Styela clava: one gene and its partner. Each later gene encodes a partner of the first gene's protein in a complex. Links are inferred from orthologs where the notes say so. Each region holds a gene or a part of one and is shown in the gene's direction. Other genes may lie near its edges.

Region 1 (17,020 bases):
AGATGAAGCGTTAGGTAGTGCTGTAAACAGCATAACAGCTGTTCATACAATTGAGCACGTGCGTGTGCGGCACACACGCTTCAGATTGCTATTCGTGATAGTTTAAAAAAAAAAGCATGTTCACTAGGGCTGGGAATGGTTAATCGGTTAACCGATTTTAGATGGTTAACGGTTACGGTTTATTTTAACCGTTAACTGACTTCTCAGATATAAATCATCTTTATAATGTACAATTCTTCAAAAATGATTGCGTCATCGCAAATTTATCTCCCATGGCGTTTATTCAAAAAAAATATCACTATCTAAGGACCCAATAAACCTGAAAAATAATTAAAGTAACAAGATTGATAATTATGAAAATTTGACGATGATAAATTAAGAATCAGTCGAAATATACTTTTCAAGATTTGTTACGCAGAGAAATATGTTTCCTTGATAAACCTGTGTTATTAGCAGCTATTTATGTCGATCCTATTCACAGAGGTATTCTAAGTCAAGGCTGCCCAACCCGCGGCCCGCCGAAGTGTTTTTTGCGGCCCGCCCTATAATGTTTGTAAGCAGACTTTTTAAACTTTTACATACATTTTACTATATATACATAAGTATCTTTCGTGATTTTGGTGTAAATATTCCTGCCATCTATCTACGTTCAAATGCCGGTTATTACGTATGTGTCAAGTCTTGCACGCTGGTGGACATCAACGTCATTTTTTTTATTTCTCGCAAAACTGTGCACTCTGTTCGATGAACTATAAAGATATTGTGCGATCATTGGAGACAAACGCTGAGCTCAAATATAGGAATGAACTTGGAGCCTAAGTTTGCAAATTGATTTCATTCTGATTGCTTTCTTTCGTGTCGGCTTTGATCGTCTTTATCGCCAGCGTAAAATAAAAAGTCAACAATATCTTGGGTACTGGTCCCCGGACTCGTTGTCTCACAAATCAGGATATATATATCGACTATTCGTTCAGAAATCTCCGTTATGTTACTTCATCGAATACTTGTATTGGTGTTTCAAATTTTACGAAACGGTCCACTAAAACTTGATATTGCCGCGACATTGACGCACATTATGCTTATTTGAACATTAAAGCAGTATCGTAGCTACTGAAAATGAATGAATAAAAACACTATAACGCAAATATAACACTTAACTTTGACGTGATGTGTGTGTTTCTTGCGTGGTAGCCAAAAAACCGCAAGTGTGTTGTGTAATGATTGATTCTTTGATTCGTTCGCCCGAGAGTGTTATGTCCACGCCCCGTTTACCAGGTTTTTGAATAGTAAACCGCTATTCTAATATTCGAATAATTTGCCAGCCCTACCCAGTAACCAGAAAGCAATTATTAATTTGATTGATTTCATATTAATAAACTCGCCTTTTATGTATTATGTAAATACCTACACCAAAATCAGGACTTATCTGGTATTAATGTTTGGTACAAAGTGGCCCGCGAGACGAAAAAGGTTGAGCAGGCCTGTTCTAAGTGCTTGTCAGCCGGGTGTATAATACATCTAGGGTGTACTTAGTTTAAAATGTATTCATACAACATTGACGACTTGTCATAAATAAAACACAACGTATGCGTTTGAACTAATGCGCAACGTATGTCTAGCGCAGTGTTTCCCAACCAGAGTCCGCGGTCTCAAATGAGTCCGCGGAGCGTTTGAATGAGTCCGCACGTGCCAGAAATTACTTATCAGCCAAGTTACGATTTACGTTAGAATTTACAAAAAGCAAGTTCATAACATTAATCGAGTCAATAATTACTGGTTACTGAGTAGGGCTAGGCGTATATTTAAATATTCAACTATTAGAATAGCAATTTACTATTCGAATCTTTAGTAACAGGTGACGCGACGGGTCACTTGCGCGTCGCCTAATCAAACGATTGAATTTCACAACTCACTTGCGGATTTCCGACGACACATGTGTCGATAGATACCTAAGTGTTGTTTCTCGCGAATTCGAACAACGAAGAATAAATATTTTTCTGTGGTGGGTGTCAATGGTGGTAACCCAAATTTTCTGAATTGAAAAGTGGCAATACAAAATACTAATAATAAAACGAGAACACCATAAGTTTTGTTTTATGAATGCCCGCGACCGATTAAAACGGGTTTTTAGACATGCAAATCACAAACTTTCGGGTGCTACGTACTGTACGAACCAGGGCATTTTGCCATAAGATTATTTTCTTTACTACCTCCACATTGGTACGTACAGTACTAGAGCGCCCTGAGTGTTGTACGAACAGCTCAGATTTGTCGAATTCACTAAAATATGAATCAGAAGAAAATATAATCGGGCACTTTACCACGCATTTTTGCGTCTACGGATTGTGATTATTTTCTGAGTAGTATTGCTTTTATTTCTTATAACAACCTCAGATTTAAATGATCACAATTAAATTAATAACAAGCAAGACGATGAATATGTATTTTTGATTTACTAATATCATTTGAATATATTTTTAATAAATACTAAATCAAGCTGTACTTTCTGGAAATGTATAGCAGATGCTTTCATCTTGTCGTAAGTTGACACCACCGCGAGTTGAACACTTTTAAATTAAAATGGAAATCATTTGAAATTCTCGTCGTTATCATGTATTGAATATTGTGCGACAATAAAGGCCATTATACACTAAAAAAGTCGGCTATTTTAACGATCGCGTAATTGCGGCGAATTTCCGATTTTGAAATTCGTTAAAATTCTGTTGTGTTTGGTTTTATTGCTTCTTCGCACAGAGTACGGTTGCAATAAACGCACCTTGAGACCGCAAAGGTTTTCGCCGGTGAGAAAATAGTCCGCGACCAAAAAAGGTTGGGAAACGCTGGTCTAGCGTTTGCCAAGTTTGTTAGTCCGGCAGAATCGGGCCTTAACATTGTTTTGGGACGTAAAGTTTTTTTTTATTGTTTAGATATAATGTCGATGACATAAATAATGATACCCAGATAGGTGTGGAGTATATAATGTTGAGCAATTTTTCTAAGTGGATTTTAAGTATTCGTACCAAGATGACGCACATCCTGAACCCTAACCTGGTACACATACAATGTTCAGGTTGTGCGCCATCTTGGTACAAATACTTCGGGAGCATCTTTTTGTTAAAAACAATTATTTCATAACCACATGGGTTAGTTTCGAATACATAGTAACATTGAATTTTCTTACGATGTCAGAAATTCAATTTTAGTAGAATAAATGGTAGTTTAATTCACTAATATAAGCCAAGATCCATCGACAGCATCTAGCTAGCCCCTTTCTTTTGCGCTCTTCAAACTACATTTGTGTTGCCGCTGCATTTCGTTTTCCTGCTTTAAGCTCAGGGACTTGGGAAATATTTTATTAGTTGAAATGGATTGGAATATTTGAACTCGTCTTTCACTCCGAACAAGGCCATGTAAAACCATCCACTGGTATCTAACGATGTGTAACGCGTTTTCTTTTGGAAGAACCGGAACCTTTCAGGTGCAGCATTGACTTTGGCCAAATTAATATATCCTAGTGGAGATAGAAGGTATGTGTGCGAAACCGAGATGTGCACCTGTTATGCCAACATAGTTGAGTCGAACAGTTTGATCACTAGTACATCACACACATTTCACACATGCATCAAATTCCACCTGTTATTGGGCTATAGGTTTTTGACAAGCTTTTGTGTATGATTTCATTCCATAGAATTTGTATGCTGTTCTAAAGAATACTAGTTTCAGCTTTTCATTCATTCAAACCATTTATGCATTTATTTATATCCAACACTTGACATCCTTAAATCGGTGATGCCAGTAAATCTTTAAAATACAAAAAGATTAGTATCATCTGCAATAAAAACAGCAGTACCCACTCAAATGACAGCTGAGGAATGAATACTCATATTATCTGTTCCATCGCGTGCCTCTTACCAGTTTACATGTGTGCCAATTGGTATCTAAGCTCAGCCAGAGACGAAAAGTTTCGGACTGCGGTTGGCGTGACGAAATGTTTTCAAATATATATTCTACAATAATATCATTTGATTGCATATTACTGAAAGTTACGCCCTATATGTGTTTTCCCATTGCACTATTCCTTCACTGATATTCGATAATATGACGCTCTTCTGACATAGTTTTTCAAGTGTGTAGATAGGTATAAACTTTTCCACGCTGTTCAGATGGGAATGCGCGAATAAATCTAAGAATCGCTAATATTGGTTTGCAATGCGATGAAATCGGTTCCATTACATTTGAACCCACGTACATTTGAACCCATGACAATTGCACCTGTATGCTATTGCACCTATGGAATTTTTTTTGTTTCACGGATAGTTAAACCCATACTAACCCTAACCCATGGGTTTTAGCACCCGCATGTAGATTGAACCCGTGGATATACGCATGGGTTCAAATGTACATGGGTTCAAATGTACGGTCACCGAGGAAATCCCATCTTGGCATTTCTGCCTCTCGCAATTGCGGCGTATATTATCGAAGAAGTCTGTCGCGTGGTTATTAAATGAAGAAAACATGGTATAACAGAGTATTTTTCCTACTTCTCTACTACTCTCACTCCTTGACATTTTGTGAAAACTTTTTTCCATTCAATCTTTTTTTAAAACATCCCCAGCAACCGCAATTAACTCTGTCATTAAACTTCCGAAACAAACACATAAAATCATGAACAGATGCATATCACCAAGTCCTAAGTAGATATATATTGCTAAATTGATCTTTATTTTACCATTTTTCATGTAATGCTTTTTGGTAAACTTGTTATCTATTGTAAAAACAGCACATTTGACAAGTGTTTGATTTGTTGTAGTGTAATTTTTTGGCCTCACATTTTTGATATTTGTAGTTAGACCTCTTGGGGCTCTGTCAAACAAAGTTACATACAAAATACTGGTTGTAAGTTGCAAAACATGATCATGCTGTTGGAATAACCTGGCATTTACCACCCGTATATCATTCATTGTCGAGAATAATAATTAAATCATAAAATCTAAAACCCGTTTTCGTGAATTTTTTGTTGTAGCTGAATTCGAGGAACAGCATGGCAACAGACAAGAGAAGCACGGTCGCCTCTTTTAGTTTATGATAGAGTTTCAAGGGGACCACGGCCTCCTTGGAGGCCCCTGATCGGTTATCGGATCGTCGTTATCATCCCGCTGCATAACAATTTTTACTAACAAATAATTGACTGTTCTCCAACGTGTGTATATCCACTTAAAACACTGCCGACTGCATTAGCAGGCTTGTATTGTTAATTGCAACAATAGCGGGCATTTTGAAATAGTACTCTTTCTTTTACGCATATGTTTCAACAGTATTTCCATATACATGGGTCGCGACTCGCGACCCAAAGCTGGGTTCAACAAATACCTAAAAGGTATTGATTTTATTTCCTAGTAAATTTGGTGCTTCCGTAGTTTGTGCACCAGAATGGCGCACAGCCTGAACATAGTATTGTAACAGGTTAGGGTTCAGGTTGTGCGCCATTAGGGTGCACAGATTTGACGAAATACACTAATACAAATATCAAGCCGTAAAAAAAATTGCTCAAGGCTGCAAAATCCACAGTCATGTAGAAATGATGGGCAATGACCCCAAGATGAATAATCACAAATAAAAAAAAAATTATGTCAGAAAACAAGGAGAAAAAATACTGCACACTTTTGTTTATTGTGAGTGAAATTTTCAATAACTTATATTGATCTGAATTTAAGCCTACTCTAAAAGAATCATGTGGATCTTATTAAGGCTGTAATTGGTAATCCAATAACTTTGCTCCATATGTAGTTTTCAGTTGTAATTTTCAGAATTTGTTTTAATTGTAATTTGCTAGTTTCTATTTTTTTGCAGTGTGTTCATCGAGTTGGATGCCAGAAATAGGGTTGGGACCCCGGGAAATCCCGGGATTCGGACTGTTTTTTTCAGTCCCGATCCCGCAATTATTTCCTAAAAATCCCGGGATTTACAATCCTCAGTATGAAGTTTGGAACAGACCACAGTCTGACGTTACAATCAGTACAGAATGCAGACAAGATACAACAAGTTTGCAGTGTGGAGGTAAAGTCTGGAGTTACAGTCGAAGCAAAAACGGTCGTAATCAGAGTTGATTGGGAAACTGAAAATAAAAATGTCAAACTTTGAAGAAGTCAGTGCTAAAAGAAAGTCAGAAGTCTGGAGAAACTTTTTATTTTGCAAAGATACAGAAAAAGCGAAGTGTAAATTGTGCCAAACAATTTTAAAAGCGTCTGGGTCGAACACGAAGGGACTTATAGTTCATTTGAAGTCAAAGCACGAGATTGAAGTGAAGTCTCGCACGAGCATGGAGGATCAGCCAAATCCCAAGATCAGAAAAATTGAGTCGTTCTTCAAGTCAAAAAAGTCAACATTGAGGTGCTAGTTGGTCAGTTAACTGCAGTGGATGGTCTTACATTTAATCAAATTGCCAAAAGTGAGAGGCTACATCAAGCGTTCAAAACTGATGGTTATACGCTGCCCAAATCACACAAACGTGTTCGTAGTCTGGTGATGGAAAACTTTGAAACCGTCAAGAAATTAGTCAAGGAAGAGTTTTGTGCAACCAAACTGAATAATGGTCGTTTTTCCATAACATTTGATGTTACAACATCCGCAAGAAATCGTCGTTACATGAACATTAATTGTCATTTTCAAGGTGGCTTTCATTCGCTGGGATTGATTCGCATCCACGGCAGCATGGACACACAAAAAGCAATCGACTTAGTTGGTAATCGACTAAACTCCTTTGGTCTCGACCTGAATACAGCTATTGTTTCCACAATCACTGATGGTGCTAGTTTGATGGTAAAATTTGGAAAAGAGACGGGTCCACTCCATGTGATCTGCTTTGCTCACGCGATTCATTTGGCCGTTTGTGACGTGTTATACAAAAGGCAACCGGTCGCAGTATGCTCTGATGAACTTGACTGTCACAGTGACAGTTCAGACGAAGATGACAACGACTCAGAACAACGCGAGGATTTCGGATTTTCTTTAACTTTATCTCCCAACCTTGACACATTGATCAAGAAAGTCAGAAACATCGTGAAAATATTCAGAAGGTCGCCTGTGAAAAATGATGATGCTCTTCAACCATTTGTCTTGAAGTCTTTTGGAAAGGAAATTACACTACTGCTCGACTACAAAACCCGATGGAACAGTTTGCTCTCAATGCTAGAGAGATTCTATCAGCTACGAAAAGAGGTAAAATTGGCTCTAGTTCGACTGGATATTGATTTTGACTTATCTGAAAATGACATGAAAATTATCGAGGGACTGTGTGATGCTCTTGCTCCCATAAAAGTTGCGTTACACTCTCCAGTGAAGATGCAGACATTCTTTTAGCAGAAAAAGTAATTGCATTTACTTTAAAGAAGCTTGGTGATCAGAAAACTGGAATCAGCCAGGCATTAAAAGACCGGTTCAAAGCACGAATTGAAGAACGGCGGAATGCTGAGTTGGTCCATCTATTGAAATATTTAAAAAGTCCGTCTTATCTTGATCAAGTTCAGGATCAATTTGGGCACAGAGTAAAGCGGCCCAGAATTGCTGCTCTGGCCATGGGCATCTTGCAGAGATTATTTCCTCAAGAGGCTTACAATGCGGGCTACATTGTGCATATTGATGTTGACAGTGAAATTCTTGACGAAGAAAAGAAAATGACTTTAGCAGAGTAATCCACAGTTTTGTGGAAGATGACGAAGTAGAAGACAGGCGACCTGGCAACCTGAGCTCTAGTGTAATTCAAAAAGAGATGGTACTGTATGAAACAAGCAAAAAGAGACCTGAAAACCTTGAAAAGTTGTACGCTGCCCTAAAAACAATTAAACCCACGTCCGTCGAGGCAGAAAGAGCGTTTTCTGCCCTTGGATTTTTCGCAAACAAAATAAGAAGTCGTATGAACGATAACACCCTAGATGCTTTAATATTTCTGCGTCGATATTACATGAAATAAATATGTGATTTTATTGTGATGCAACTTGTTTCAATCTTTTACTCAATCCCGAAAAAATCCCGGGATTTTACGGCTCAATCCCGGGGTATCCCGATACCATGATTTCAAAAACTAGTCCCTAAATCCCAACCCTAGCCAGAAAGATGAACGTTCGTGTTTTTATCCTTATTTATATGTTTGTTTGTGTAATATGTTTGAACTGGCATATGTATTTCCACATGTTTCATCCCTTTCTAGAGGTTTTTGCCAGTTTTCCCAATCTTCTTCATTGTTTTGTGTATGTTTTTTAGGCATGTTATGTATCGCCGAAATCAAAATAAACTTATAAAACAGAGCGAGAAATATCTACAGATTTTTTCTTGGGTTAAGGGTCAGGTAAACAACAACCATAGTTTGCGCGGGAAAGATTCTCACTAATATGAAGTCACAGCAGTGACGCAGAATTCAAGAATTTGTGATAAGAGTTAGGTACGGTACCGGTACTGTATCTTATTTATTATAATGTGTAATTATTGTAATGTGCGAACTAAATGGTGCGAAAACCCATCTCTAATGTCTGTATGTATTTCAGTAATTACTTGGTGGTGGAGGAAGCCGTAACCGACCAGCGGTTACGTGAACCACCCAACGACGGCGAGCAGTCCAGCAATCCTCTCGCACATAACCATCCCTGCATGGGATTCGAACCTGCGAACCCACGCAGAGTAATTAGAGGTGCGGTGGCGAGCGTATTCCTAACGCTTAGCCCGTTGAGCCACACCGCCGCGCCTGTACCGTACAGACATAATATTTTCAACACACAGAGTTTCTCTGAAATTATTAAAATGCATGATATAGTCTATGCATTATATAAAGCCTAAGTTAGAATAGTTTATTCAGGTGTATCCATTTCCCGATTTCTTAAAAATGCCAATCTAATGATTATTTGTCCTACTGTCCTATGTGTATGGAAGTCATGAGTCCAGATGACTAGATGAAGTCATTTTTTCTATAGACCTGTAGATCCTACTGCCCTGTGACGGTTCAACTGTAAAGAATTCACTATTTACAGAAATTAAGGTATCAGGAACTTATCAATTTTTAATAAATGAGGCTGAGCTGCCGAGAGTTGAAGTTTACTGTAGTAAATTTCACTTTACTGCTTTACCACACTGACTATTGTATAATGCTGTTTTTGTATAATCTCACTAATGTTTCATCAATAGTCTGATAGCACACAATGAGTTTGTCGGTAAAATTATAGGGTCTAGTATAGTTAAGTACCACAAGTACTTCCAGTGGGCGTAGCATAACGATTTTTGCATATGTTATTCCTAACTCTCACCTGACTATGCCATCCATTACGTCACCATCACGTCATAGGGATTGCCAAAGTATAATTACGATCGCCCGAAATGGAATCTGCGCCGCCGATAAGAACTTGCTAAAGCCGGCGATCTCTCTCCTATCGTGATCGTTGCGACGAGAAAACGAGAGAAATCGCTTGCTCGATTTCGGGTTATCGTCTGCGCGTTTTGGACGACCATCCGCATACTTCGATGGGCCTTATTACGCCACTGTGACGTCGGAATGACGTAATTTTTCGGTGACGTAGTCAGGTGGGGGTTAGGATTGACATATGCAAAAATTGTTGAGCCAGGCCAACTAGAAGTCGATGTGGTACTAAACTATACCAGACCCAACTTATAGACCAAACATTGGTAAACCCAATGGGACAAGAGAGAGAGTTTATTATTTTTGTTTTGATTGGGAGATGGCGATACGGCCAAAGGTCATCAAAGTCAGCCACCACCCATTCCAGCCAAATACGGCTGTTTCAGTACAGCACACTATCCAAATTCCAAGAATTTCCCTCCATTTGGCTCAATAAAACAAACCTCTGTGTCTCACAAACGAGGGGCGTCTGGGACTACGTCAGATGTTTCATATCGCGCCATGCTTGTCTCAATAATAATCTAAATTAATCGCGGCTGTCACATGACCAAAATTGCCGTTTTTTGCTAAAAACTCTCGAATGCTTCGGTAAAAAAATTTTTTCTTTGGTAAATCGGATTATTTGTTCCCAAAGAATTCAATGCTGACGTTACTAGATTGCGCTTTTTTGTAGTATTTTGCGCAACTTCGTTATACTGTATTATTACCAATATTGAGGGACGGGATGTTACCCGATTTGTATAGTGTGCCGTTTTGTGTTTGGGTAATACAATCTGGCCCACCTGATGCTGCTAAACTAAACTACAGAACTAACACCAAAGTTTGATGTTGAAGGTAAAAAATAGATCAAAGAATTTGTTTGGATTGCGTTTAAATTTAGTTTTGAGACGAGGCTTATTGTTTTCCACTTTTGCTTTTGTAACACTGTAAATATTATTCATAAAATGTAACTTTTGTGTCACACTTACATGGCCCAGGTCCAAAAACCTTGCCCACTGCTGTTATAGACCCTTATCCTATGCACATTTTATCCATAATATTCAGAGTGAGTCCAGTTAAAAATGTGAATTGCTTAATTGAGCAAGGCAATAATGAACTATACCAACCCAAATGGATTTTAGTTAAAGTTAATTGAATGCCATAATGGTTGCTTGTTTTTCAGTTTTTGTATTTATTGTAATAGCAGTTTCTTCAAAACCTAAAAAATGCAGTTTGGTGGAACACCCAAACCATCTGCTTCTAGAAGAAAGCGACTTCGATTGGCGGATGGCTTATCTGATGACCTTTACCCTCACGGTTTAATGATGTATAACAGACCACCAATGTGCAACATCACCCTCCAAGAATTTGAATCATTTGCATATGATAGAGTAAAAGTTTTGCACTATTTGGATTCATTAGGAGTGTCTTATGTCAAAAATAGTCCAGATTACTGCCAAAAACTTGGAGACTATTTAAGAAAAAATTATGTTGGGTTTACATTAACATCTGAGCCATCGAAAGATACAGAAGAAAGGAATTTAGAATGGCGTCGTAAGGATCACATTTCCCACTTTATTCTCAGACTGGCGTATTGTCGTTCCGATGAACTTCGTCGTTGGTTTTTGGAAAAAGAGGTGGATTTATTCAAATATCGATTTAATTGTGAATCAACGTCAAGTATCAAACAATTTTTAATGTTGAATGATATGACTTATTATCCAATCTCAGAGGAGGAAAAAGAAAAGTTTTCTGCGCATCTAAAATTGATATCCTACGATATGACTCAGTCTAAGGTCCAGTCAACTAACTTTTATAAAGTTCCTTTCACTGATGTTTTGAATCTTGTATCATCACGTCGTGTGTTTATCAACTCAGGTTATGCCTATGTTCCACAGTCAGAGTTGATATCCATCATTAGCACACGTTTTCGTGAACACCTATCTAAAGCTTTAGCTCAGACTTCAAGATCACTACCTGAGTTAGAAGAGGATGATAGACTCTTGCCTATACTTAGGGGATTCAATAAAAACACTCTTGCTGAAGCATACGATCCAAACAAAAATGCTGGCAAAGTATCTATCAAGCAAATTGATGAATTATCTAAAATCTCATTTCCATTATGTATGCGGCAATTGCATCAAGTTTTGCGTGAGACTCATCATCATAAGCACTGGGCTCGTTTGCAGTATGGACTTTTCTTAAAGGGCATAGGTGTTACTCTTGAGGAATCAATTAAATTCTGGAAAGCTGAATTTAGTAAAGGAGTTGGGGAAGAAAAATTCAACAAAGAGTATTCCTATAATTTCCGACATATGTTTGGTCGTGAAGGTAAAAGAACAAATTATGCTCCTTATGGTTGCATGAATATTATAATGAAAAATGTACCAGCACCTGGTGAACACCACGGTTGCCCTTTCAAACACTCATCTCCAGAACTCTTAAAACAACGCCTCCATCACTATAAAATACCAAAAGACTCAATTGACGAGATCATTAAACTAATGAAAAGCCAGCATTATCAAATTGCTTGTACAAAATACTATGAGGTGACACACAAAGTTGATGAAGCAGGTTTTCAACTTAACCATCCAAACCAATACTTTGATGAAAGTCAAATGCTCTTGAAAGGTGAGAAAAAGACCACCGGGCTGAAACCTAGTCAAGGAAATGCAGAATTTACTCCGAAGTGGTCACAACCAGTTCCTGAATCTCAAACTGAAGAATCAGAAATGGAATTGGATGCCCTAATGACAGAAGTTGATGTTTAAACTGCTGGAAATAATATTACAGCCAATATTAATTGATGTTTATTTATCAATATGTTAAATCATACTTTATATTTCTCAACATATTTTGTGCAGCAAACTATGGTGTGAATGTATGACCAACCGTGAGCCACAGGTTCAAGTCATGATCATGAATGGCCCAGGATTGCAATTCTGGAATATGTAAATTACAATTTATATGATTAAAGGAGAACAACTGTTTTTTCTATTGTCACTGATGTTTAGACTCTGTAGTTTATAGACATTGGGAAGGTTTGAAGTTGAGTATATGAGAAATTCACATGTTATTGTGGCTTGTGCTAATGGAACTTTATTTGCATCCTTTAAAACAGGGGTAGGCAAATTACAGCCCGTTGGCCAGATCTGACCCACTTGTCTGCTGAAATTATGATTATAGTCTTTATAAATATATGTTTCTGTTGAGAATATCGATGATAATCACGTCATAATGACCCCGATCGTTCAATTGTGCTCATTATAAAAACGTTAGCAAAGTTGTTGGACTAGCTGTTGTGAATAAACGGTTTTTCATTCATAGTTTTTTTCATATATATGGACATATTGAGCCTCCAGCTCAGTACTGAAGCCTATTATCTGTAACTTGCCCATCAAGAAAAGTTAATTGCCTACCCCTGCTTTAAAAGAATATTCAATGATAAAATGCGATGTATTTTTGCAGTTTACCTAATACTATATTGCTGAAAAATATGACAAACAGTTTAAATATGGCATGCTAACTTTCAAGTTGGTCAGAAATCATGTGTCTTGAGAACGCTTCATTAGACAAACAATAGACAATAAGTTTATTTCGTCGTGCAATTAGTATGGATGCTAACCGCTGAGACAGCTATGCCTTTGAAGTGATTTGTGACACATGCCACAGGTTATTCATTTTACTAGTTTATACAACCTGATATAAACATATTCCATCATAGCTAATTTTATCGAATTACGTACGTTTCCCTAAAAAATAAAACCAACGTTTTTTGCGCTTGTTGGCGCTTTCGTTCTCTCGCATGAACTTGTAGGATACAGAATTTTCGACGCTCTATAAGTATAATAAGTATAAGTTTATTTCGACTCCATAATCAGCATAACAATACATTTGACAGATAAAAACAAATAAATAAAAACTGATTATGAAATCAGGGGAGCAAACAAAACCTTAGATAAGGTTTATAACGTACAAAATATAAGATGGAAGGTTTTGCCAAGAGGAAGTGGTACGTGTTTACTCACCTAAAATTATTAAGTTATTTCACACACGCTCACATGCACCCACCAGCCACACACGCAACCACTGAGAATTTATTTAAGTAAGAATAAGACGCAATAAATTTAGGGTATACTATACAGTAAACAAAAAAAAAAATAAATAAATAAATACAAGAAAAGAAAAAAAAAATTTTCTGCCACACCATATTGATATTTTTGTAATGATTGCCATTGCCGAATTGATCGATCTTCTAATCGTTGATTAAGATATAAAAGGAAGATTCTATTGAAAACATATTGCCAAGCTGATTATAGTTGGAGTCAAATGCCAAGTTGCCCAACCAAAGTTGCCAGAATTGGGTGCATGAAGAGGTGGGCGAGACCATTTCATTCCCCAAATTAGAGCCTATTATTGCCAAATTATAGTCCAGATTGTAGTAAGTAATTAAAGTTACCGGTAACACTAAAATTACTATAATTAAGTAAAGTAGGATGTGGAAATAAATTGGTTACAAAGGGTGTAAGTGAGGTTTTTCATTCTTGGGTATTGATTTCAGACAAGGATATAGGAATAAGGTTGTTATTTCACAGGATATCGGAGTCTTTTTTTGATTTTTTTCTTATGTGTTTTACTTCATTTAATCACTTTGAAGTAACCTGAAAAACAAAAAATAAAACTGCGAGTAGATGTTTCAATGATTAGGTGAAGGGGAACGCTCTGAACTATTTATTACAGGCAAAAAATAATTGTTTAATTAAATGGGATGTATTGTCATTGTATAGCGATGGATAGATGATCTATGATGACATTCTGCTTGGGACAGAGAGAAATTTATCACACCATGCAAAAAACACACAAAATTTTACTATCTATACCTTGGCCAACAAGTCAACTCAAACACCATGCCCTAACATAAAACGCATGCATACATAAATGATATAAAAACCACATCCAATTACAATGACCCACAGCAAATTAAAATCTGAAGGGGAGAAACCAACATAGCTCTACTGCTCGCCTAGTTGCAATAATTAGTAACCTTGCAGGAACAATATTGTACTATCTACAACCCTTATACCACCACTCAAACATAAGACCAAGCGTGTATGATAAGGACATCACAGCTAGAAAAAGATAAAAACACGAGCGTGAAGTGATAGAATGTGTGCAGTTATTTAAAGAAAATATCATCCGGGTACGTTAGCTACCTATATATTTAAAAAAATATATATATATACTCAAGCATGTCACAATACCATTTCTTTGGTGCTGGACTAGTTCTGGCCAAGTCGTGGCAAGATATAACAATATTATTATAGCTGTTCAACATTTTCATTAAAACAATAATGTGCAAGTGTGGAGTGTCCCAAGTTTTTGTCATCGAATACCACCAGTAGTAATTTTTAATATTTGGAAACTAAATGAGACTTGACTTGTTTTTGAAAAGATTTTTTGGACTTTAAGGTCTTCAAATTTAAGGGAAGAGAATTCCAAAGTTTGGGTCCAGTAAAAGACAAGGAATGCTGACTCACGGATTTACTCATGAAAGGTACGAATAAATCAGAACTGCTTCTTCGATTGGAGGTATTTTTGACAAGTATGTCATTAAAGCAATTGGGCAGCGCATTATTATGGAAGTCGTGAGCTAGAGATAATATTTCAAATTTCATCATATCTTCAACCTTAAGTATATTTAGTGATTTGAAGTAAGATTCTACACTTTCACGTTTTCTTTTACCAAAAACTATTCTTAAAAAATTATTACAAATACTCTGCAGTTTTGAGACAAGTGTTTTATTACCATGAAGCCAGACTGAACAACAATATCGAATATGGCTAAGTAGTAATGATTGAAACATTGCTAGTAGAGCTGATTGATCAACACACTGGGATACTTTGGCAGAAACTGCTAGGTTTCTTTTTGTTTTACCAATAACATGCATTATTTGTGATTTCCATGACAGATTTTCATCAAAGATAACTCCTAGAAATTTTATTTCTTTCACTCTTTCAATTTCATTGCCATTGAGCAGTAGTTTTTTTGAACAACTCACACTTTTATGCTTGCTTGGATGGAATAATACAAATTTAGTTTTGTTAGCATTCAGAGATAATTTATTAACTAACATCCAGCTACGAATGTTGGTTAGTTCTTGGTTTGCAACTGTGAATAGATCTTCAAGGTTTTCCCCATGAAGAATCAAGTTAGTGTCATCAGCAAACATGATCGACTCAGAGGATTTCAGACACCTGGACATGTCATTAATGTAAGCTAGAAAAAATAATGGGCCAAGTAAAGATCCTTGTGGAACTCCGTGCTTCATGACACAAATATTTGTAGAGAATGAATTGTCATATTGCACAATTTGCTTCCTGTCTTGAAGGTAGCTCTTGATCCAATTGAATGGAACGCCTCTAATTCCATAGTGATAGAGCTTACTTAAGAGGATGGAATGGTCAATGGTGTCAAAAGCTTTTGAGATATCAAGAAATATTCCAATTGCATGTTGTTTGTATTCAAACGCATTGGTCAGTTTGTGTACCAAAACATTAGCAGCCATAGCAGTGGAGTGATGCTTGCGGAAACCAAATTGATGCGAGTGGAAAACATTGTTAGTTTCAAAGTAGTTTGACATTCTACTATACATTATTTTTTCAAGAATCTTAGAAAATGATGGTAAAAGACTAATAGGTCTATAGTTTCCAAGATCTGAAACACTACCCTTTTTAAAGAGAGGAAGAACTTTGGATGTCTTGAAGCTTTCAATGAATAATCCACTAGATAGTGAAAGATTAAATATATATGTCAGGATATCAATAATATGTTCTGGAACATATTTCAATATTTTGAATGGAATACCATCGATTCCAAAACTTGACTTGGGCTTCATATCGCGTATAATATTTTTTATTTCTAATGATGTAGCTGGCCTTAAGAACATGGATGAGGATTCTTGCTTCCCAAGATATGAAATGTAATTTTTGTCACAGCCAGCTGGTTGTGGCATACAGTCAAGCAGGCTTTGTGCCACTTGGGAAAAGTGTTCATTAAATTTATTTGCAGTTTGTGTATTACTGCAATCAAATCCAATCAAAGGACAAGAATTTGTTTTATTTTTACCAATAAGTTCATTAATTGTTTTCCACACTGCCTTGATGTTGCCTTTGTGAGAAGCAAATTTAGATTTGTAATAATTTGATTTCTTTTTGTGGAGCAATCGAGTATAAAGGTTCCTGCATTCATTGAACTGTAATTTGTGCTTGTCATTTATGTTTTTATTGTTTATTAATTTCTTATAAAGTTTTTGTTTGACTTTGTTTAGTTTGCGTAACTCAGTATCATACCAAGGTTTGTTTGATCTGTCTGTTTGTTTTTTGTAAGGAAAAGATTGAGAGTAAGCAGTGGAGAATTTTTCAAAAAAAATTTCAAAGCAAGTGTTGGGATCCTCGATGCTGCTGAAGTCATCAATATCAATAGAATTCAGTTCATTCATAAAAGTATTCAAGTTGGACGAAGTAAACTGGCGATAAAGCGTTTCAATTCTGGTCTGAATTTGCTTTTCTAGAAGAGAGCATTGTACAATCGGCAGATGATCAGAAACACATTCTGCTAAAACAGCACTGTTAATTTTT
Region 2 (17,014 bases), on another chromosome or scaffold:
TTCGGATGAGGAAGAAGGTGAGCTTTCGAGTTATCTGCTACAGGCATCCAGACACCACTACGGGCTTCGAAAAGACGAGGTTCGAGAGCTAGCGTATAAAATGGCAGTTAAAAATGGAACAAACATTCCGCGGTCATGGGTTGAGACCCTTGCAGGAAGCGACTGGCTGTACGGATTCATGCAGCGTCATCCTAAACTCTCTCTGCGCAAACCAGAAGCCACAAGTTTGTCGAGAGCTACCAGTTTCAACAGGAAAAATGTTGGCGAATTCTTTGATAACCTTGATTCCGTAATGAAGCGTAACAAGTTTGAGCCAAATTCCATATATAACATGGACGAAACCGGGTTAACTACCGTTCAAGTGCCGTCCAAGATCATTGCCGAAACAGGTATAAAGCAAGTGGGAAAGATTACTTCGGCCGAAAGGGGACTTCTTGTGACAATGATAGGATCAGTCAATGCACTAGGAAACTCCATACCTCCGTGCTTCATTTTTCCTAGAGTCAACTTCAGAGAACATATGCTGAGAGGTGCGCCACTTGGTGCAGCTGGGTTTGCAAACAAATCTGGTTGGATAAATTCAGAAATCTTTCTTTCATGGATGAAACATTTCGTAAAACATGCAAACTGCACACCTTCAACTCCCGCACTATTACTAATGGACAACTACAAGAGTCACATCACGATTGATTCTCTCAATTACGCAAAGGAAAATGGTCTGGTTCTCCTCACATTTCCACCCCACTGTAGTCACAAACTACAGCCTCTGGACAGGTCAGTATACGGGCCGCTGAAACATTACTACAATAACGCCGTTGATGCGTGGCTAACTCTTCCAGAACATGCAGGCAAAACTCTAACGATATACGATATCGCCGGAGTTGCTAAAACAGCATACATTCGCGCGTTCACGCCTGAAAATATTCCGTCGGGATTTCGGGTGTCTGGAATATTTCCGTTTGATCGAGATATATTTGGCGACCATGAGTTCTTGTCTTCCTTTGTTACAGATCGCCCAGAACCAAAAGAAGATGATAGCGAAGAGTGTCAGGCTGCGCCAAGCAACGCCGATGTAAGCTCTTTGCCTGGGACCTCCGGCACTACTGCACATTTCTCACCAGAAGATGTCAGACCGTTCAACAAAGCCTGTCCGCGAAGAAAAAAGTGTGGGAGAAAGAGCTCAAAGACGCTAGTTCTCACGGATACGCCGGTGAAAGAGGCTTTAACAGCTAAATTGACTAACTCACAATCCAAAATCAAAAGCTCTAAAAAGAACCCCAAGCAAAAGAAGGCTGCGCCACCTGCTGAAACGAGCAGTGATGAATCATCTGTCCCCTTGAATGACGATAGCGATCTGGAAAGTGAAGTTGATTCGCGTGTAGACGATAGTGTAGATCGAGTGGCAGCTGTGGGGGATTTTGCCATTATTAAATTCAGTAGAAGGCGTGGTGGAAACGCGTTGCATTACGTCGGTAAAATTCTTGACAAGGACGACGACGAGAAGGAATTTGAAGTTATATTTATGCAAAGAATCCCGTCGAAAGCAACAAATTCCGCTTTTGTTTTCCCCGAAGACGAAGAAAGCACATTCGGGCTGGATGAAGAAGATGTAGTCTGTCGCCTTGAAGCTCCAGTTAAAGTTGGCGGCACGGCAAGAGCTTCCAGACACTACCGATTTAATGAAGATCTCACACAATGGAATATCCAGTAGCTTTGAAGGACGAATAAGGGCTCGATATTTCAGCAAAATTTCTTTCCTGATGGTGTTTTGTTCTTTATAAATTATTTCCTCCTCAGTGTCCCACTGTGATCCAACCACCGTCCCACTGTATACCGACGTCGGGGCACAGTGGGACAAATTTTTTTTTTTAAAAAACCTGGCTCACAGGAAAAATATTCCCATTGAGCAAATTCTTTGGTAAGAAATAAAAAGTTCGTTTCTCTTACAATGTAGTCATATGATTTAGAAGTTGAAATAGCGTAGTAAATAGTTCGAAAATCGCCAAAGAAAAAATGAGGGCCACTGTGCCCCACTCTCCCCTATCCAACTTCATATGAATATTCCAACTTTCTGCCAGAGTATTATTATATCTATTCTAACACAGAACATAGCATGAATTCCACTTCCTATAGTCACTTCAACGATAACTCTACTGTGATGATGGACTCGTATCAAATCGCACGAAACTGATAGAGCAAGTAGCTACTGATCGCAGTTGATGGTGTTTTTCTTTGTGATATCACAAAGTAAAATTGCACGAATACTGAAAGTTTTATCACATAAATGATATTCAATAACAAAATCGTTTCTACTAACATACTTCCATATGTCCGAAGTACGCTGCATATCTCTTGCAGTAGAATGACCTATGCTTTCTCGGTCTGTGAATAATATCCATACGATACCAGGATACGATCACGCAAAATTGCTTTTGAACCATTGGGACGTAGTCACGTAACTTGCTCAAATTATAACTTATCACCTCAAACTCCACGCTGCAATTAACCGGTAAATTTTATCCGATAACATGTTTCTCTTGTACGAGTTTTTCTCGTGGCTCATTTTCGAACAAAAGTACAATTGAAAAATGCGAGTATTCACAAATCAAACTCTATCAAATACTGGTCGAAACCAACTTTAATACAAATGACGTCATCGAACATGATGCCATCGTATTGTCATCGCTTAATAAAAGTCCAGATAAAAACTCTGAAGTGGAACACCAGACAAAAAATTATCACGAGACAAGTACAACATGCTTGTGACGTCATAATACATCAAATACTTCGACAAAATGAAATCAACAAAAAAGATTATATTATTACCAAAACCCATATGTTTGACATCTATTGGCGATGGTATTTGAAAATATGATGAATATATGTACTGGACGATTTACAATCACCAGGGCAAGGTCGGAGAAGGTAAGTCTCTTACGACGACAGTAGGAAAGGAAGTATTTACGTAATTTTAGTGCACGTAATAATATTTGTTGCAGATTTCATTCTTCGTGTACCTATTGCACCTGCTTGCATGCGCCACTTTATGGGGCATCTTGTTGGTTTGGGGAATTCTCAATCAGCTAGTTGAATCCGGCGTGATTGATCAAGATGAATTTTACGGAATATTCAAAGATTTCAATGTCATCTTCCACCTATCAACTATTCGCATTGACGTCGGCGATGTTTCAGCAATCTTTCTCGTCGTTTTTGCAACTATGCTGGAGACAATTTCGGTAAGTATATAGACAATAATTTGCAACAAAATCTTAAAACCATCGATCACAATACTCTATTATTTGACACACAGGTATTCGGAATATGTGGGGCGATACGTGTTAACCGAAGACGAAGAATTCGTGATGATTCTCCAGACATATTCGTTGAGCCAAAAACTTCATTGTGTTCTATCATTTTTCTGAGAATTGTCATTGTGATTTGTCTTGCTTTGGGTGGAATGTCATTGGCTGTTAGCGATCCACTAATGAGTCACATGGTATCTGCGATGTCCTCTGTGATAACCGGAAGCATAGGATCAACAAATATAAAAGCGATGGATATTTACCAGGTCAGTCAATTATATATATTATCGGACACGAAATAGACTCATGGCCGTTTTGCCTAATAGTTGTTGTTTTTCTTGCTGAGGCTGTGTCTTATTTTTAGTGTTATGATAAATTGACATTCTTAGCAAGTAATAGACCTATCAAATTTTCATTGCTTGAAGACGAAAAGAGTCGCCAATGCTTCTGATTTAGCTTATGGATGGCGTTGAGAATTTAGTGTCTGGCGTGCGGCAAAGATGAATAGAAACATAGACGTCGCTCAGCGAAACTTTGGTCAAAGATTTATGTCATATTCCACCTTTTTTTGAATATTAGTGTCGGGTATCGGCATTATATGAAATGGCGGCTAATCTGTGCAACCCATAGCGGCTTCAGAGGTTAGAGCATAATTTTTTTTTATATATTCAGAGCGTGTTTCAGTGCTGTGGTGCCAAATCTCCAAAAGACTGGATTCAAGTCGATAAGGAAAACGGAATCGTCTACGATTGGATCCCCCAGTCATGCTGTATTAACTCTTCGGACTGCTCGATATCTCCAAGAAACGTAATTCTTGATGTTTCTTCTACTGCTATCTCAATGACTACGGCCAATCCTGGCATGGGCACCTCAATTCCGTTTTCCCTTGGAAACGATGCTACATTTGATTTTGTTCAAACCCAGATTTACGATAGGGGATGTGACACTGCTATTCAATCTTTCCTAACCTTACACAGTTTGTTGCTATTTGCATCAGCATTCATACTGATTTTATTGCACACATCCTGGGTTATTTGGCGCCGAAATGCTGGACTTCCGTACCTATGTTGTGAATTCAATCGTAGAAAAAATCGAGTTCTACCTATTCATCTCGAAGTTAACGGTAGTCCGACGAGTTCAAATGAAAGCCTATTTTTCTTGCAAAATAAGCTCATAAACAACATCAGCAGCAGTGAAAGCTTTCAACTCATTAATGTCCCAGAGAGTTCGGAGAGTAACCACATAGTTATGAAAAAGCCTGGACCACCGTCAATAACGCGAGTAGGACAGGATATAGCAATTTCTCCCTTAGAAAATCTTCGTTCATCTTTCACTAATAAGGATGAAACGAAATACAGGCCACGCACGTCGAGAGCAAGGCCAAAAACAGGCATTAGTCGATCTGCAGGAAACTTGCCACGTAATGTTTCAAGGATGCTTGAGGAAACTATGTCAGGACATCGACCGCCAACGCCTGCTAAATTGCCTCAACAAGTGATGGTAGTTCATGGTGATAATGAAGATGCTGACACTTTCGAACCTGCTCATTTCTCTGGGCCTGCTTCAAGCAAAGACACATGGGCAACGGCTGTCAATGTTGAAGTTCCCAACACCAAGCGACAAAATGACGACGACAAGCTTTCGATTTATAGCATTGACAGCCTCGAAGGATGGTAAACCATGCCTCATATCTTATATAGCGGGCGCTACCACGCGATGCGGTGCTGAATTTACTTGTTTTTATTTAATGATATTACTCGCATAATAAATAAAAAAATTCATTGGAAAAGCATATAATTTTACTTACAAAATGGGCAGGTTATAAGAAAAATAAATTTCCTTGATCGCTAAAAACCTGCATCATCAATTTCCATCCAGCACTCGTTTATCTAATAAGTGCTTAATTACTAAAGTTATCACTTCTTACTCCAACAGCGGTTGACCCGTTGTTTCTTTCGTGTAGATCAGAGGTGACGAACCTGCGGCCCACGAAGCATTCTGGCAATTCAGTGTATGTTTGGAGTAAAGTCACAAACCTCCATGAACTGTACAGAGAGAATGGGAGCGCAAGTGTTACCGTATTCATATTACTGGCAACAACACTATTTCCAACACATCTATTTTTTTGGATCATCGATACCTCTAACAATGGATCAAAATGACCATTGTCGTAGCATAGTTACGCTCTCTTATCGGCAAACGCATACGGTTTAATAGAGAAGGAGTAATCTCACTTTATGAAAATGCTCAATGAATAAAACAATGGTAGAAAGTACATGGTACAGTACATTAAAAATTGATTTTGCAATAATACGCAGGTAGTAAACTCAAACTTTCGTGTTAAAAATGCTGTGGTATTCGAAAGGGAATTTGGATCTGGAACATCCGAGCCGAGCGTTTATATTGCATTATATAATTGAATAACATCAGCTGTATTGATGCCGTTGTTCGTTTAGTAGATGAAAATCAACAGGTATCATACGGTAGTACGACTATAAATTGTGCGGCCCGCTCACTCAGCGGTGACTGATAAAGTGGCCCGCTACAGCAAATTGGTTCGTCACCCCTGGTGTAGATTCTCTTCTCCATCTGCCTTGCATATTTTCCTTCACTTTCATCTCACTTTTGGTTCTATTTCCATTTCATGTATGTAGGCTACTTTAAATACTAATACCACGTGTCACATATTCAGAATCCTATATTTATACAAACATGGCATATAATCATAATAATCTTGGCACATTTTTATCAAGTTCTAAAATCCAGATTGTTGAATTATAAAATATATACCTGTTTCGACGGGAACTTAGCAGTGACATATTCTATTTAAGAATGGCGCAGTTTGTTCTTTTCTCTTTTTTACTTTGATTAATCATCGTAAGGATGTCGCATAGCTTGTAATAGATTAGTATAGTATTTTCTGAAAGTGCGAGACTTTTTTAGAAGAAGTATACTATCCAGATGAGGCTGGGCCATTTCAAAAATAGCATTTTCGTAGGACATGGCGCGTGGCAAACCCCATACTTCAACGTTCGAGACGAATGTGAAGAATTGATTAAAATATTGAGCATTGAACGTTAGATCCTATTATGAAGAATATAAGGTATTCGTATTTCACAAATTGAATAATCGTCCATACACTAATCGGATAAATTAGATTTTCAACATTGCTTGTAAACAACGTTTTCGTAGTTTGGAGGAGAGGGATGAGATTTTTAATTATATTTGCTATACTGGTCTTATGACAAATGATGATTTTGAAAAAGCTAATCAGTTTATATTTAAAAAATTATGTAAAAACTCCCAATATAAGCAAAAATATCGCACTAGTAAGTTACGCCTAAATGTCAAATTGACGAAATAAAACAAACCAGTCGCCGGAGCGCGAACGTGATGTGAGTATGTGAAAGGGTAGTTTGAGTTTCTTCGCGCGCTTTTACAGTCTTAGGAATTAGGATTCTAGATTCGTCAGGTAATTCTGTGAATCAATAATCTTTTACGGTAGAACTGTAGTATGGAAAATCAGCCACCTGTTTCTTCGCAAATGATGCCCATGGAAGTAGCACCAGAAGAAATCCGCAAACATGGTACCGGTACGCCTCTCGCACAAATCAATCCAAATTGCCCTAGCAAATGTACAGAAACGACATCAGAAGAACAACACGGCGAGTATGAATACCTCAACTTATGCAGAAGGATATTGTCTAAGGGTAAAATAAAGGGAGATAGAACCGGCACAGGAACAATATCTTTGTTTGGTGCTCAAATGCGTTATGACTTGAGAGAAAGTTTCCCGTTGTTGACCACCAAACGTGTCTTTTGGAAAGGTGTTCTAGAAGAATTACTTTGGTTTATAAGAGGCAGCACCAATGGAAATGAATTATCTTCTAAAGGAGTTCGAATATGGGATGCCAACGGCTCTCGTGAGTTTCTCGATAAATTGGGATTTCATGATCGTGAAGTTGGAGATCTGGGACCTGTTTATGGGTTTCAATGGAGACATTTTGGCGCTGAATATGTTGACATGAACACTGATTATACTGGGAAAGGTGTTGATCAGCTTTCTCAAGTAATAGAAACAATTAAAAAGGATCCAGACAACAGGAGAATTATGATGTGTGCCTGGAATGTTACAGACATACCAAAAATGGCCTTGCCTCCATGTCATGCAATGTGCCAGTTTTATGTGTGTGATGGAGAACTATCATGCCAACTTTATCAGAGATCAGCAGATATGGGGCTTGGTGTGCCTTTCAATATCGCTAGCTATTCCCTTCTTACATACATGATCGCTCATATTACAGGCTTAAAACCTGGCGATTTCGTACACACAATAGGAGATGCTCATGTATACAGCAATCATGTTGAACCTCTCAATGAACAGTTAAAACGTGTACCTCGACCATTTCCACTTCTTAAAATAAAAAGACAAATATCAAATATTGATGATTTCAAATATGAAGATTTTGAGCTGGTAAACTATAAACCTCATGGCAAAATTGCAATGAAAATGGCTGTTTGACCAAGGCACACTTGCTAAAGAGTCTTAGACATACACGAGCTATTTGGTGTCAGCACGAACAAGATTATGAACATTTATTTACTATAAATATTTCAGAAACTGCTTACCTATTAAATAATGCAGATATCTGAATAGATTATTTGATAAGTATAGAATGGCCATCCACGATTTTCAGTTGTACACCAGGGTTTTATATTTGTACCATACAATTTTGTACAATACAAAAATGTGTAATCTAAATATGGTTAGATAATCTAAAAATTGACTTTTTAGTCTTGGTACAAAAAATAATACAATCATGTAACTAAATCATGGAAATGTTAAGAAGTGAAGCTGTAAACCAATCATACCAATTTAGGATGCAAAATAAGCACTTCTTCTGTTAGAGCTTTGTAGCCCAAACTTGAAAGTGTTTATTGTACATTCCAGATATACACATTCCTTGCCGCAAGTGGTTATTTATGTCATGTATAGTTTTTGTTGTTATTGTGTCTATTTATCAGTTTACAATTTGTATATTGTTCTTTTTTCAGTATAAAAACACCAAATTTGAATATTCTCTAAACTGGTTATGTCTGAAGAAAAGGAAATCGAAGTTAAAAAAGAAACAACAAATCAAGAGGAATTTGCTTATGACGCATCAAGTCTACCAAGCTTGCTTCCAATTTATTATAAACTCTTGTTTCCTTATGGGCCGTTCTATTCTTGGTTGAGTTACGGAGGTCTCAATAAAACTACATTTTCAAACCGGGAATTTTCGTTCACTTTACAGAATGATATTTATGTTCGATACCAATCTTTTACAAGTCAGCAAGAAATGGAGAAAGAAATCCAGAAAATGAAACCTCACAAAATTGACATTGGAGCCATATTTTCCCATCCACCAAAAGATCATAATAAATATCATAGCGGCATTTTTAAACCTCTAGAAAAAGAACTTGTGTTTGACATTGATATGACTGATTACGATGACGTTAGAAAATGTTGTCAAGGAGCTGATATTTGTACAAAATGTTGGCCTCTTATGACAATGGCTATTAAATTGATTGATAGAGCCCTGAGAGAGGATTTTGGATTCATGCATCGACTGTGGATATATTCTGGTAGACGTGGAGTCCATTGCTGGGTATGTGACGACAAAGTACGAAAATTGCCGAATAAAGCAAGATCTGCGATCGTGGACTACTTGAGTGTGATTCAAGGTGGTAATTTGGAGAAAAGAGTTAATCTTAAAGATCCAGTCCACCCGTTTTTAAGACATTGTATAACCACAATATCGAAGCAGCATTGGGAGGAATACCGACAGGCACAAGAAATTCTTGAAACCCCTTCAGACGTTGAAAAAGTACTAAAAATGGTTCCTGATGCTGAAATGAAGGAAAAATTGAAAACGGAATTTAATAACGATAATCGTACAACTGAAACTAGATGGGAAAGAATAAGAAAAGCCACTGCTGAAAGATATCAAGAAGACATGAAAAAATATCGTAAGCTTCGTTACACGCCACAAGAAATTATGCTAGAATTTTGTTATCCTCGTCTCGATGCCAACGTCAGCACAAGTATTAATCACTTGTTAAAGAGTCCTTTTTCTGTTCATCCTAAAACCGGACGTGTTTGTGTACCAATTGATATAGATAGCGTTGATGATTTCGACCCTTTTGCTGTCCCGACTATCAGCCAACTTTGCCACGAGTTAGACTCACAAAAAGCAGAAAAAACAGAAGACAATTCTGACGGTTCCACTAGAAAGATCCACCTTTATAAAACAACAAGTATCAAAAAACACGTCAAGATTTTTGAAGATTTCGTTAACAAATTATTAGCAGATAGCCGTAAGGAAAAACTTAATCAGAAAGATGCAACAATGGATTTTTGATTGTTTTTATATTGAAACTGATTATTCTCAATCATAATTTTTGTTAGCTAGCAAATTGTTAGCGGACAGTCGTAAGGAAATACCTAATCAGAAAGATTTATATGAACTTTAGATTGTTGTTCGCGTTGACACTGTTTATTCTCAATCATAACTTTTGGTATCTGGATTTGACATGTTGGTAAATTGTAAACAATGTGCTGCTGCAGGTTTTGTTAATATTGGTTTCATTTAGGAAAGAACACTAGGGCTCTAATCAACTTGATAGACCTAATTTTAGCACCCGAACCTCAGAAACACTGCCGATTGGTCATTAGGAAGATATAGTACTGACCATTCAATAACTCCGTGTGGCCTAAAGCATAAAAATTGACCCAGACAAAATAAGCCCCAACCCCTACAAAGCTTCTTGGTAGAATTTTCCCCGGAGACCACCAAAAAATAGAAGATCCCAATTACTTAGTTGTTTAATATTATTTAAAATATGTCAATTTAGCTATAAAATACATATTTTGTAACTCTTTCCACACAATATAGTAAAAATTGTCTATATCCCCATTGGGTGGTTGTCGTGTTTCTAATTGCATAACAATACTGTAAATAATTTTTCACTTTTTTCCTTAGATTTTAAATATGACTTCTAGAATTTCTTATACAATTTTACGTGGAATTTGTAGCAGAGGTTTATGTACAAGTGCTGCACGTCTTGGTTTTCTTCCACATGATCTTTTAAGAAGTGATATGCTCAGTTTGAGCGGCCTTGTCAAGCAAAAAAAGGTAAATTTGAAATGCCTATATACCTTACGCTAGGACAGCGCTGTCTGTGAAAATGCACAGTAGAGGGAAATCAAATTTTGAAAATGAATACTTGACGTATTGATTTCTATTATACGTTATTGACTCTGGAGAAAAATAATGATTTCAGCTCTACGGCGACATGTTATTAATAGGAATTGATTTACGTGTTCGAATCCCATTCAGGGATAGTTAAGTGCGATAGGATTCTTGGACTTCTCACCGCCGTAGGGTTATTCACGCTACCACTGGTCGGTTACGGCTTCCTCCACGATCAGGTCCATGCTTCCAAAAACAAACAACTGACTACTGATCAAATTGAAAAGCCTTTATCCAATCAATTTTGCAGCAAATTCTTGATATTATCTATTTAATACCATAACAATGGTGAATCAACTAAGAAGACACAAATTTATAAATAAAAAACTTGCCTGGGATGAACTAATTATATGATACTGCAGCAAGTGTAAAGATAACTATTCTAAGTGATCCGAGAGTCTTAATTTACACCAAAACAAATAATATAACAGAAATATATTTGTGTTGGTGTGGAGCAAGAATCTATGAATCACTTGGAATAGTTATAGACTTATAGTAAAAAAAAAAAGCTGAATAGCAATAATTTTGAACCAAGTCTATATTAAATTTTTTACCGAATTTTCCAAATACCCAAAATCTTGGACCATCGTTTACTAAAATAATGTTTTTGTAGGTCTTGAGAAACAAAAAAAATTTTGGACCATCTTTTATTAAAATAATCCTGTTTTTGTAGGTCTTGAGAAAGAAAAAACAGGAACAACTTGCTGCTGATGAGAGCAATGCTGCTTATTCTTACGGTCCCCTCAATGTTTCAGTTGAAGGTTATGATATGGTTGTTATAGAAAAATTTGCTCAAAACATCCATCGATTATTGCTGCAGGAAAAAGTTGACGTCAGAGAAGTGTGAGACAATGTTTTAAATGATTTATTGGCTTTTCATAAATGTATAAATTCATTTCCATGATCTTGAATAACAAAGTTTAAAGTAAAAAAAATCTCAAGATGACATTTGATAAAAATCTGTTTTGTGGTATTAACACTAAGTAAAGAATGGTCAAACAACAAAAATAATACATTCTCAGGTGTAGTTGCTTATTCTGAACATGTCATATTTTTTACATACCCGTATATTAACAAAGAGAGGTTATGATTCGAAAAGATTCAGGCCTCTCATAGAACTAAACCAAAACAGAAGGAATGTAATGCCCTTGAAGCTCGGCGTACTACAAGGCTACTCTGTAAGTTTAATTTTCTTCAGGTATGCATTACCGACCGAACATTTAGCAGTGAAGCAGGTTGGCCAAAAATTGACAAAAGAAGTGCAGCAAATGGACAGAGTTGCCGAGCTACCGGTACATGCCAGAGTTCTACAGATTCAAGGCCTGCAGTCTACCTTGGCACCTATTTTATTGCAAACGATTGCTTGCGATATTCCTCCAGGTGTCAAGCTTACGGTTAATAAGGTATAAATTTATATTTTCAAGTCTATTTGTCACAATTAAGGCAGTTATTGCTGGGAAAATAACGATAATTTAATCATGTAAATGCTTAGCAAGCGATTGGAAAACTTGTACTTTTTAATATATTAAACTGATAAATAAAAGCAAAAATGGCAAACACTATTTCACATTGTTTTTGCAGCACACTGAAGAAGATCGTCTGAAGAGATATAAACCAAATAAAGAGCTGGAAGCTGAAAAGCTTAATCTTTCTAAACTTCTGGCCGCACGTTAACATCAAATGAATACTCTTTTATTAAGTCTCATCTTGAGAAATGTGCTAAGAATTTGAGTTCAAATATCTTTCCTGCTCTGTTTTAACAGATGACGTTCGTCTCACAGATGATGATGTTGAGTCGCCTGTTGTTTTAGCAGCTCTGTAACATGAAATTTCTTGTTTAATAATAAATAATGTTGAGTCTAGCTTTTTCCTGATTCTTGGTCAGGTTGTGCAAAACAGTTTCATTATTATTATTGAATCATTTTCTATACAAACAAGTGAATTAGGATTATCTTCAATTACAAAATACAATGTAGTATGAGCATTGCTTACAGTTTGGTCAGAATAATCACCAGTTTTGTCTAGCAATAAATAATAAAACATGCAAAAAGCTTTGATTTCAGATCAAGGTTTCAACAAACTGTCGGCTTTAAGATCAATCCAAAGTAGTAAAACTGGAAACTGAATTATTGGTTTTAGTGCTTATGGAAACCCTTTTAGCTCTTTTGATGGGATAACTGCAAAACCTTAAGCATGATGGGTGTCTCTTTAACTATTAAAGCAATACAAATCTGCTACAATTTCAAATACTTTCTCTGGCAAGCAGGGCTGGGAGACATGACATTTAGCTGCGGCCCGGAGCTAGCAATAAATTGCCTAGCTAGCAATAATTTTTTATACCTTATTGAAATAGTAATTTCCAAAGAGTTTTGAAATTGGCACTCGTGTTTTATGGTGGTGGCCGTACAAAAAATACGTCTATGGAGGCAGTATCAATGTGATCAGCCCTGCATGCTAGCATTTATAATTGTACCTATTTTCCATATTGCCTTCTTTAGCTAGCGTATTACCCAATCAAGACAAGATTTCTATGTTTTGTTATATTGAGGATAAAGTTAAATGAATACAAGTCATAGCATTCAGTCCAAAGCAAAATTATACGGTGGTAAATAAAAGAAGGAACAAATCAAAAGAAGAAGATTGACAAAGGAACAGAAAAAACTGCAGTACTGGCTGTTACTGCATGGTAAAATAGCTATATGGCAAAATTAGATAAGTACTAAGAGCATTATTGAACATCATAACATAACATGGGAAACAGAATTGGAGTGCTAGCACAGATATCACCAATGTAGGCAAAATCACAATTACCCGCTAATTGACGAGCACACATAGTTGATTATGATTTCAATTCAGAACCTAATATTTCAATTCGGTCATCACATACAGATATCAAATTATTAATATCAACACAGTTGATGAAACAGAATTTGGAATGCTCGCACAGATACCACCCATGTAGGCAGAATCACATAACTCGCAATTAGCGCTAAATAAGAGCACACATGGTTAAATATGATTTCAATTCAGGACCTAATAATTCAATTTGATTGGCGTCGTCACACAAAAATATCAAATCATTATTATCAATACAGTGGAGCTGTGCTGTAAACTCTTCAAAATCAATACCCAATTAAATCACACCAGAAAGTGGAATCATCACAAATTGTGTTAGTGTGATCACAATCAATAAAGAGCCGAAACCATGACATTTTGTTGGAAATGTAGTTAGCAGGAGGAAAAAAATCGTTTTTCAAGCCTTTTTTTTATTTCACATACTTGGAAAACTTTGATTAATTTTAAATTTTGGGCCAATTGTTCAATGATACTGGTCAGAAAGTCAATCTCTATGGAGCTGTCCAAGCATCTCAGCCCTGCAAGTAAGACAATGCATGTGAAAAGTGGATTCAACTTTAACCCTAACCAACACAAGCTGAGTGAAACATGGTTAGGGTAAGAAATAATGTTTTGCTGAATTATCAGTATGTAATTATGAAAACCTATTGAAGCTTAACATAAATAGCAAACAATTAACAAAATTTTGCTGAAACTTAACTTAAAAGCATGCAAAAGAAGGTATACATCATACATGTGGCAAAATGAATGAACTAAAACAAGTTATGCATAATTCGTGAAATATAAGAAACACAAAATTAATATGAGCATGCTAAATGAAAATAAATATTTGGTCCACAAGAAATGTATGAACAAAATTTCAACTAAAAGTATCAACACATTCAAAAAGCCAAAGCTTGCAGGGAATTGTCATATTTTTGCAATCTTTTTTCTCATCCACACATTTCTTCACATCACAGGGTGACCCCGAAAACAGAACCCATAAATTTCTGTGCTACTTCTACAAAAATGAAGGAAATTTTTTGTTCCAAATTACTTCGATTCTGGGTCACCTTGTGCAAATTATTACAAATGCTCTGCAGGTATTGATGATAATCCAAAATTCATTTAATCATGTTTGCTATCATATAAACATTGCATTTTTGTCACTTGTAATTGTTATGAAAGCATGAAACCACCAAACTTTTCTCAATTGAAGATAATTAGCATTTAACAAATTAGCATGAAATAAGCTGAAAACAATTAGAAAAAATATGAATCAGGTTGATAGTCTACACTTTTATGCTTTTCAATCCGACGATTTCAAAAAAATTAATTCTACAATTTAAATCCTTCAAAATGATTTGAAATATACAGAACATTCTCAATATTTTGTTTAGTGTTCGTTAAATTCTCTCGAACTGGATGAGGAAGATAAAAATATTACAAGGCTATTTTCTCTGGATTGTGTGTAATAAGCAATGGACTCATGTGCAGATGATGTAAATTGGGGAAAGGCCTTAAACTGTTGCTATTAAAAAAATGATTTGGTGTATTACAGGGTGTCCCGAAAAAAATCCTATAAATTCGTTAATTACTCCATCGAAAATAACGAAAACTTATTCACCCCTTGAACTTATGATTGTATAGTGCTCTTCAACTGGGTATACCCAAGTGTATACCGGACCATAAGTAGGGTATACAACTGAGAAACGGTATACGAAAGGTGTACAGCAGGGGTCGGCAACCTTTTGTCGTTCCCGGGCAAAAATTAAAGGTTGCAAGTCATTGGCGGGCCGCACATATTTTTAGAATGTTAAAAATCGAATGGATGACCGATCACACAGATCAGAAGTTAAATTTTAAGCAGCGCGCAAAGACTGACCATTCGAATATTTTTTGCGCCTTTAAACCATTTGCACTTAGCATCAACTTTTCTTTTGTCTAAATTATAATTAAATTATAGGCTCATTAAACGAGTAATTGTAAATTATATTCTTGTTACGTAATATTATATTAGTCTACACATAAATTCTTTTGCGTAAAGAATATAATCGACAAAACAGCTATATTTTGTTACTATAATTCAGTGAAGCGTGGGCCGTAGGTTGCTGACCCCTGGTGTACAGCCCAAGTCAGGGATTCTGAACTCCAATATATTAAATTATAAAATAATCAGTTGGAGACGAGGCAAACGCGGCGCACATGAAATATAAAATGTCATTTTTGCAAAGAACCGACTTGTGCACATTGTTACATCGCAAATTATATAGATAATACAGGGACATGTCTGGGTTGATGATTTCGTTAAACATTACTCCCCTTGGCGCTAGGACCGTCAATCAAATTTATACCATTTACACTTTACAACTTTCGGACAATAGCCCATTAGATTGTACCGTGATATTGCAGACTGCAGTATCGTGATATTGCAATATTTGCTTATAATTTAATGTTTATTTCAGCCTTAACTGAACATTGGTACATGTAAGTTATACCACGGATATAAAGGTTGAATGAAGAACACTAGTCTAAGACACTTTGCACGAAAGTTTTGTTCACTGTATGTATAAAATGGCCTGGGTCCTGTTTTTGGGGGGTAACCCTGTATTAACCAGTAAGATGATGAATATTAAATCACGATTGTTGAAGTACTAAAAAAACATCAATAAACGCTGGATTCAATACTAGAACCCTTTAATAACCAAAGATTCCAGCAATTGTAAATTATTTCATAATTTAGTCAAAATCAATACACAATCACAGGTAAAATAAGTAATTTGAATTACATGGGTTTTAATACAGTTATAACAGAATTATTCAATTGAGAACAAACTAATTATTTTGGACAACCCTATACTCTATGCTACATCCTAATTATTTTTAGACATAAGCCAATAGATTGTTGCATTGTTGATGTTGATCTATGCTTCAGGTATTAAAACTTCAGAGTGACACATATTGAAGTTAAGGTGATAGTAGCCTTCATTTATCAAGGAAAAAATAAAATATGATGAGAAAAAGGCAAAATTGAATTCTTTACTTGGGGCTTCATTTCATCAATTCCTATCTCGGCGAGGCAACATTACAACACATGTTTAAAATAAAAAGCATGCTAGCATTCCAACGAAGGAGATTGCCTTGAATCATTATTAGATGATACAGGAGCACTTGTGTTTGTTTCGTTAACAGACCTTCGAATCAGATTCTCCAATTTCCGACGTGATTTACTTTCTTCTTCTAGTCGTTTACCAAACTTTTTTTGTTCCTGTAAATTACAAGTAACGTGAAAAATTTGAACAACCCAAAAAAAGGTGAATTTTTTATAATGGCCCAAAGCGTTTTTTGCGAAACTGACCAATTCAACAGGAAAATAGAGCATGTCATGGATATTATGATTTTATATATACGCCATTGCGAAAGCATTATGAATCAAGTAAAAGACTTATTATTAACTGGCACAATCATGCAACACCAAGTAAGCATAGTTCAAATTTTTTCAAAAGTAGATCAATTTTGAACATCAAAATAAAAATTGCATCTAGAATGGTTATGAGTGGCTAAAAATTTGGTGGAAAGATCATA

What was found.
Region 2: DNA primase large subunit-like (region 1) and DNA primase small subunit-like share a complex: the UniProt entries of both Drosophila melanogaster proteins name them as parts of the alpha DNA polymerase complex. The link is inferred for Styela clava from reciprocal best matches to the Drosophila melanogaster genes Prim2 and Prim1.

What each region holds. Positions count from the first base shown.
Region 1 is NC_135261.1:19,108,694-19,125,713, reverse strand, and holds DNA primase large subunit-like, read left to right. Parts: upstream 1-10,536; 5' UTR 10,537-10,608; coding exon 10,609-12,153; 3' UTR 12,154-12,927; downstream 12,928-17,020. UniProt on the Drosophila melanogaster protein: Regulatory subunit of the DNA primase complex and component of the DNA polymerase alpha complex (also known as the alpha DNA polymerase-primase complex) which play an essential role in the initiation of DNA synthesis.
Region 2 is NC_135258.1:14,383,063-14,400,076, forward strand, and holds DNA primase small subunit-like, read left to right. Parts: upstream 1-8,391; 5' UTR 8,392-8,395; coding exon 8,396-9,703; 3' UTR 9,704-10,325; downstream 10,326-17,014. Other genes in the region: uncharacterized protein LOC120339549, read left to right, coding at 2,857-2,925, 3,000-3,236, 3,311-3,568, 3,975-4,979; thymidylate synthase-like, read left to right, coding at 6,817-7,824; large ribosomal subunit protein mL48-like, read left to right, coding at 10,334-10,477, 11,268-11,437, 11,793-11,997, 12,176-12,268; rho guanine nucleotide exchange factor 7-like, read right to left, coding at 12,314-12,410, 16,624-16,697. UniProt on the Drosophila melanogaster protein: Catalytic subunit of the DNA primase complex and component of the DNA polymerase alpha complex (also known as the alpha DNA polymerase-primase complex) which play an essential role in the initiation of DNA synthesis.